Yarrowia lipolytica: one gene and its partner. The protein of the gene in region 1 purifies or fractionates together with the protein of each later gene. This does not show direct contact. Links are inferred from orthologs where the notes say so. Each region holds a gene or a part of one and is shown on either strand. Other genes may lie near its edges.

What was found.
Region 2: the proteins of YALI1_E03449g (region 1) and YALI1_B09448g purify together in Schizosaccharomyces pombe (affinity purification with western blotting; 3 studies listed by BioGRID, with this or other methods). This does not show direct contact. The link is inferred for Yarrowia lipolytica from reciprocal best matches to the Schizosaccharomyces pombe genes alp4 and gtb1.

What each region holds. Positions count from the first base shown.
Region 1 is NC_090774.1:343,747-347,676, forward strand, and holds YALI1_E03449g (uncharacterized protein), read left to right. Parts: upstream 1-1,217; coding exon 1,218-3,587; downstream 3,588-3,930. Other genes in the region: YALI1_E03439g (uncharacterized protein), read right to left, coding at 1-166, 459-554; YALI1_E03476g (uncharacterized protein), read left to right, coding at 3,893-3,930. UniProt on the Schizosaccharomyces pombe protein: Component of the gamma tubule complex that is required for the regulation of both interphase microtubules and mitotic bipolar spindles.
Region 2 is NC_090771.1:942,791-946,280, forward strand, and holds YALI1_B09448g (uncharacterized protein), read right to left. Parts: upstream 2,103-3,490; coding exon 738-2,102; downstream 1-737. Other genes in the region: YALI1_B09426g (uncharacterized protein), read left to right, coding at 1-413. UniProt on the Schizosaccharomyces pombe protein: Tubulin is the major constituent of microtubules. The gamma chain is found at microtubule organizing centers (MTOC) such as the spindle poles or the centrosome, suggesting that it is involved in the minus-end nucleation of microtubule assembly.

The DNA of each region.
Region 1 (3,930 bases):
TGGTTCGGGCATCTGCAGTGAGACCGGACATGGCACAGCCAATGTGTTTGTCGATTTCAACGATCTTCTCGATGGATGATGCCTCAAGCAGGGAAGAGGTGATTCGCTTCTCGACTCCGAGAACGACACCATCCTTGGTGGCGACACCAATGGCTGTGGATCCGAGCTATGTTAGTTGGTGTTATTTGGGATGGACCTATCTTGCTTGATGGCACACGGGTGAGTGGGTGTGATTAGGTAAAAGTGGCGACACAACGACGATAGATCGCCAATACCACCAGATTAATGATACAATCGCACTTCTGAGTCGATAGCTCATACTGATCGTTCCATTAAGATGGCCAAATAACCGATGATGCGGTTGCTGCTTCTGGCTGAGCTCAAACACCCATGTCCTCATTATGAACCCGTCATCACTATTGTCGTAATTGTGCAACATCTGCACATTGAATACTTACTTTGATAGCCTCGAGAGAGTACTCGACCTGGAAAAGTCGGCCTTCGGGAGAGAACGTGCTCACTCCTCGGTCGTATTCACTTCTTGTAAGGAACATGCTGTGTTGTGGTGATGATGGTGGCAATAAACTGTGATGCGAAGTTGGGGAGTATGGAAGCTTACTTGGATGACCCGAAATCGCCACAAGGGAACATGAACCACGATAAGGAGACGGTATTGTAATTAATTAAAAAACTTCGAAGTAGTGAGAGAACAATTGATTATGATATATATATACATATTGACCTTACTGAGATATCATCAACATTATTAGTCAGCAAACGACAACGTCCATCGACCGATTACGTGACTTTTCATGGTAAGTGCACCAGTAACTGAAGTAATCGCTGGTAAACTTTTTTATGATACTTGCTGAAGCCATGAAACACATATTTATAAAAGTTATAATTAAATGAATGTATATGCAGAAAAAAAAAAAAAAACTTGTACGTCCACGATGTTTTTCAATGTTCCCTAAATCTTCACATCACCGGTACAGTATGTACTTGTACTCGTACCGCTCCTTACTACAAGCTACAAGTACACTCGTACTGTATGTCTTTGTACAGTAGCTACAGTACGTACACCCAACCTAAAATAAACAAACGCGAACGCGACAGGACACAATTCGGCTGGGTCTCAGGCTTCTTTTCTACAACCGGGAAAGGTGCTTCTCGATTATTCTCTACGCCAATCTGATTAATAACGGTCGATTTATCAAATGGAAGTGGACGACCCAAGGCAAGGCCAAGGCCATGACCAGGGCCTTAGTGGTATCAAGACCAAGAAGAGTACCATCACAACGACAACTACAACTCAACATATCCGCTCTCACTCTTCTCATCCACAGCAAGAGGCTCCTCTGTATGTTCCAAAGGTGTCTCTTAACCCTAGCACCTCTCTGCCACTGTTGGCGTGCAGACTCATGCCTCAACCAAAGTGTTCAGAGGTGACAAGAAACACCCCTCGACCAAGAAATATTGAGACATACGCTCTGGATGTTCAGGAGGTTCTGGTAATGGAGGATCTGCTTAATGTTCTTATGGGCCACGAAGGTGTATACATCAACTACAGTGACTCTTACAACCCCCGACTTGAGCTCGATCGACTCAAAGGTCCTGATTACAGAACTGCCAGAGGGTTGGATCCCTCTTTCAAGGATTTTACACGAGCGTGCATCAAGATCGCGAGCACATACGTGTCATTGTCGGCTTTTGTTGACAAAATGACCCGCGACAGAAGAGGATTGGTCAATGGTGCCCTGGCAGCCTCTATCCGGAAGCTGCTCAAGGAGTACGTCAAGCTGGCACAAGGACTTGAATATTCCCTCAGATTTGAATCCGGCTTGACACTTCACAAGTTCCATTTAAAATTGATGACAATCGGAGGTATCTTACATGAGACCCATGAGCTCGCCAAGGATATCCTCAGGGAGGATGAGGTGCGTTTCCATAATGCCACCTTGGAGCCGAGCAATGACCTGGATGCACTTCTTGCCAAGTTCCGTGAGAACAGCGTGGAAATCGACACTCGAGGTTACGGAATCTCTCTTAATGGTTCGAGTATGTGTCGAGGAGGAATCACATTGAAGGTGATTGCAGAGAGACTAAATGCACATTCTGGCGACCCAACAGCGAACCAACTTCTCACCAGACTACTCAACGATGCATCCAAGCCATACCTTCAAATGTTATCGCGGTGGATTTACCAGGGTGTAATTCTGGATCCTTACGGAGAGTTCTGCATCCAAGAGAACGGAGACCTTGCTACTGGAAACGAGGGTGCATACGATGAGTACTGGGAACAACGGTACTCTGTGCGCAAGGACGAGTTACCCCTACTCTTGTCCCAATCGAATCTCCTCGAGAAGGTCCTTTTGGCTGGCAAGTATCTCAACATTGTGCGTGAGTGTGGAGGAGGAGACACCTCGAAGGACGCAGCTGTTAACTGGGAGTCCATCCAAGACCCGGCGTTAGTGCCCAGCATTGCATCTGCCAGTGATGAGTCCAACAGAGCCCTATTATCCCTTCTGCTCTCATCTCATAACCTGTTCGACCGTCTTGCATCTTTGAAGCATTATTTCTTTCTGGACCGTGCTGATTACTACATCAACTTCCAGGACATTGCCTGGACTGAGCTTGCTCGCCCGGCTAGCCAGTCCTCTGTGACAAAGTTGCAGTACCTTCTGGATCTATGTCTACGGCAGCCTGGTTCAATCACTAGCACTGACCAATACAAGGACGACGTGGTTGCTTCCCTGGCACCAACAACAGTCTGGGACTATCTTTTGCAGATTGTGTGTGCCACTGATCCCAACGAATCTGGCTGGGAAAGCGACTCTAGAAAGATGTCCATGGATGACATGCCTGTTTCGTGTGCTTTTCAGCTAGACTTCAAGGTCCCCTTCCCTCTCTCTCTCGTCATCTCCAGACGTGCTCTGATTCGATATCAGATACTCTTTCGTCATCTTGCCGAGCTGAAGAACCTTGAGCGACTCCTCAGTATCGTGTGGCTTGAAATGGCCAAATCTCGACACTGGCGCTACCCTACGAGCGACGAGAGACTCCACAAGTGGAAGGCTTTTTCAAACATTCTTCGAATCAAGATGGTGGAGTTTGTGAAACAACTTCTCTACCATTGCACTGCTGAGGTCATCGAGCCCAACTGGAAGCGACTACAGGAGAAGTTCAAGTCTGCTTCAAATGTGGATGAACTCATTGCTGACCACATCACCTTCTTGGACACTTGCCTGAAGGAGTGCATGCTTACTAACGAAAAGCTCATCCGGGTGCAGCAGAAGATCTTCGGGTACATCCGGTTCTTCGTGAACACCATTCAGGCTCGAAGTCACTTCCTTGAGATCGTAGACCCGTCTCATTTGTCCGATTTCGAACGAAGCCGACTGCAACCTGTGTATGATAGAAACGGAGCCACTATCCCCAACGACACGCTGGTAGAGCGGATGAATAGACTTGTCAAAACCACAGACACCAACTTCAGCCATAGCTGCAAGGTGTTCAAAGATGCCTTGGAGTTCTTCGCAGCAACTGAAAGCACATCTCTGTTGGCCCTCAGTGCTCGTCTGAGTTGATTTTATGCAACGATGTATATAACCGAGGTTTTCAATAATATATTTATTTATTTTCTAGATTTTTTCACTGGCTGTATTTCTCACAACTTGGGAGTGTTTTGCTCCCCATCAGCAGGTACTTAATATACTTGTAAGTATGGGTTCCCTCTTTTAAGTTGATGCACCCGCCCAGCTCTGGAGAATGCACATCCACGGACGCCGGATGACATTAACTGCCGACACTACAGCACCAACTACAGCACCTTCTGCACGTCTATCCACGGGTCGCCAATCTTCAAACGAAGCTGTGTCCTCAACCATGACCTATGACATCCTTCTTCAACTACCATGAATACATTAGCTC
Region 2 (3,490 bases), on another chromosome or scaffold:
AGACCAGAAAGGCACCTCAACAAAACAGAGAGAGCATCTTCTGTTGGAAGAGTCTCGACGGAATGACCAGACAAAACCTGAGTGACCGATTGACAAGATTGGAGAAGGAAAAGAACAACCTCGGGACCTGGAAAACATACAAAGACTCCATGCCGTTCCAAGAGACCGACTGTGGGTTTCTGTTACTCAAGGGGATCCGAATCCATCCGGAGGGACCTTTCGGAATCGTAGTGGCAAAGAGAGCAATGGTGGAGATCGTTAGAGGAATGATGGAGATTTTCAGAGCAATGATGAAAATCTTCAGAACAATGATGGAGATTGTCAGAGCAATGGAGAGCCCTGTGGTACTCGTTGATGACGATTTCCCAGACATGGAAGACAGGCAGATCATGATATGTAGTGAAGGTAACTAGTTGGAGTCAGTTGAATGAAATAATAGTCACAAAAAAGGTGTTTGTACCGATAGTTGACCAGATATAGATCGTACTTGAATTCTGTGCAACTGCGTCATTCATTGGGATCAAATTCAGACGAGTTCAGTTTTTTTTCTTCTCTATCAGAAGCTCAACAAAAACTACAAACAAACCCAATAATTATCCCAACTATTACTTAAAATAAACAACTCCTAACTACCCCCGGTTAGAAACCCAGCCTTCTACTCATATTAATCACTGTCGGAGGTGATATCATGAAAATCATTTTATTCCTAACCACATTTTACCAATGCCACTGTCCATTTACTCCCCCAAAGGCTCCAACGCCTTGTATTCCTCAACGACACCATTGACCACCTCGCGGGCCTCGTCAAACTCGCCAAGTCCATCGCTGAACATTTCCTCCTTTCTATACTGATCCAAGAACGCGTGTCTTCGATACAACTTGTCAAACTGGTCCATGGTTCGCTTGAACACAGATGTGATAGATGTGTGGTTAGCCAGAGACAGACCCGAAACACGCGACTTGGACGTGGGAATGTATGGAGACCGTCTGGTAAGAGAAATCTGCAGAGAGGCAGGAGTGGAGGGAATGAACGGCGCGAGGTTTCGTTCTCGGATTCGTAACAGAGCCTTGTGGACATCTGTAGGGTCAATATCTTCGCCCTGAATGATATTAAGCAGAGCAACGTATCGAGACTGTCTAGAAACAGAGCCAGATACCATTCTGTTCTTGGGCTGTAGTAGTCGTCTCATGATATCAAGGACTGTGGTCTTTCGGACAGCAAAAGACCCTCCAGAAGGATTGGCGTCCAAAACGTCGGCTGAAAACGGAGTGTAGGCCGTAGACAGGAAATGCAGTCGAGGAAAGGGCACCAGAGACGCCAAAATACACGCCAGATCATTGTGCATGTATCCTGGGTATCTCAATGTGCTTGTAGAGGCGCTCATGACGCTTGCCACCAGCTGGTTCGTCTGATCAAAGGTCGGCGATTGCACTCTCAGAGCCTCCGCCGTAATGTTTCCCAGCGCTCCATTGTCCAAAACCACCACCGAGTCTGCATACTCAGCCAGTCGTCTCAGAGTCAGCATACTGTTATAGGGCTGCACAACCACGTCGGAGACCTGGGACGAGCTCGGGAACACGCTATACGTCTGAATCAGTTTTTTGGGGTACCGGTCGTGGATCTGTTCCAGCAGAAACGAGCCCATTCCGCTACCTGTTCCTCCTGCGATACTGTGGAGCAGCATGAACCCTTCCAACGAGTCCGATCCGTCTGCTTCTCGATCCAGCATGTCTAACAATGTGTCTGCCATCTTGGCTGCCGCCGAATAGCCACAGGCGAAAATGTTGCCTGCTCCAGAGCCGTCGGCGCTCATGTACACGTTTTCGGGGTTGTAGATTCGCGCATAAGGGGACTCCAGAGCGGTGGAGTTGATGACACGTGGCTCCAAGTCCAGTAGCAGCGTTCGAGGAACATAGCGAGTGTCATCAGCTTGGTAGAAGAAGACCTCTTTGCGGTCTACCACGTTAGTGGAGGTGTTGGTAGTCGGAGAAAACGTGCCGTCCGGCGAAATGCCGTGCTCGCGGCACAATTGCTCCCAAAAACGCGCGCCAATCTGGTTGCCGCACTGGCCTGCCTGGATGGTAATGATTTCCCGTGGCATCTGAGTGTCTGAGACGAGTTTGGGGCCGTGATGTGAAGTGATAAGACAAGTGGTGCGTGTACTTTTAAACTTTACGCTGATACAACTTTATGGGGAAATATAGGAGAGAAGTAGGGGGCATTGTGAAGAGTGATGAGAGACGTTTACGAGAAAAGTGACTAGTTTGAGATCATATTTCGGGTGTATTATACATTCTGTAAAAATCCCCCAAGCTCTAGCTATAAAACTGACCATTCTAGAGAAGGATATGTTTGTTGACTAAAGTGAAGTAAATATAGGTTATTTTGTTGGATGGTTAGTTTGGATTGGAGAAATTATGTCAACTTTACAAATACTACTCGGACCGGGACAAAAATTGTACTGTGAGTAAACCAGACCCTTTTGAATCTAATAAAACACTTTTCTTTTTATGTCGAACCTCTCCTTGTCGTTATCCTGACTTCATCACGCGATGGCGATGTTTGCATCATCCTAAGGTGGAGTAGTCACCAACTTCATCAGTAATGGTCTTGAGAGGTTGATTTTTGTACCACGAGAATCAGTGCATCTTTCTGATTCAAACGGTATCATTATTTTTGTCACACGCTGGATATCAAGCCTTTCGTGTGTGTGTTCCGGCACTACTTACCTACTACGGTTACAACACCACAGTCTAGCGAACTAGGTATAAACCTCACGCGATAAGTGTTCGATGAGTGCTTGTGCCTATTAATGTCCTGTTCCCCTGCGTCAATTTTCCCCTTGACGATTTGCCCAACTTTTTCCCTCTGCAAAACACATACAACCCTGGATTAGACAGTATAATCAAGTCTCACAATCGCGAAACCACTTTGACCCCGTTTAGGAGTGGCACGTGACCTTGACACAAGTGTACGTGATCTACACGAGTGTGTCTGTTTCCGGTATCTCTTCTTTTGGACGTCTTTTGCACTGATTTGCACCCTTTGGCAAGGAGTCTATTCTACATGCGAGGGATCTTCCGAATGTTCAGAGAGGTGACGTAATTGGGCAAGTAGAGAGGATTGGAGGGTAGTAGAGTAGAGAGTATTGGTTGGTAATGTGGGGGATAGAGGTAGCGAGGTGTATTACTACTATCTTTGAGCACCAAGGAGGTACCCTGTCGCCAGACACAGTTTTGCCTGTACTGTACTGATGTGCTTGTACAAAGTGTTTTGTCTCGGGTGTATGCCGACCAAGATAGATCTACAGGTGCAGACGAGGATCTACGCACAAGCCTGAAGAACCTCTCTTCACCCCTTGGCTCGATCGTGGGCGAGGCCGGAAGTTAGGTTGCTGGGGAGGTGCGTGAGAGCAGCAGCTCATGACGTCATGAAAACAGAGGATATGAAAGTTTCTGCGGTAGACATGAAGTCTGAGGGTTGTAGTTC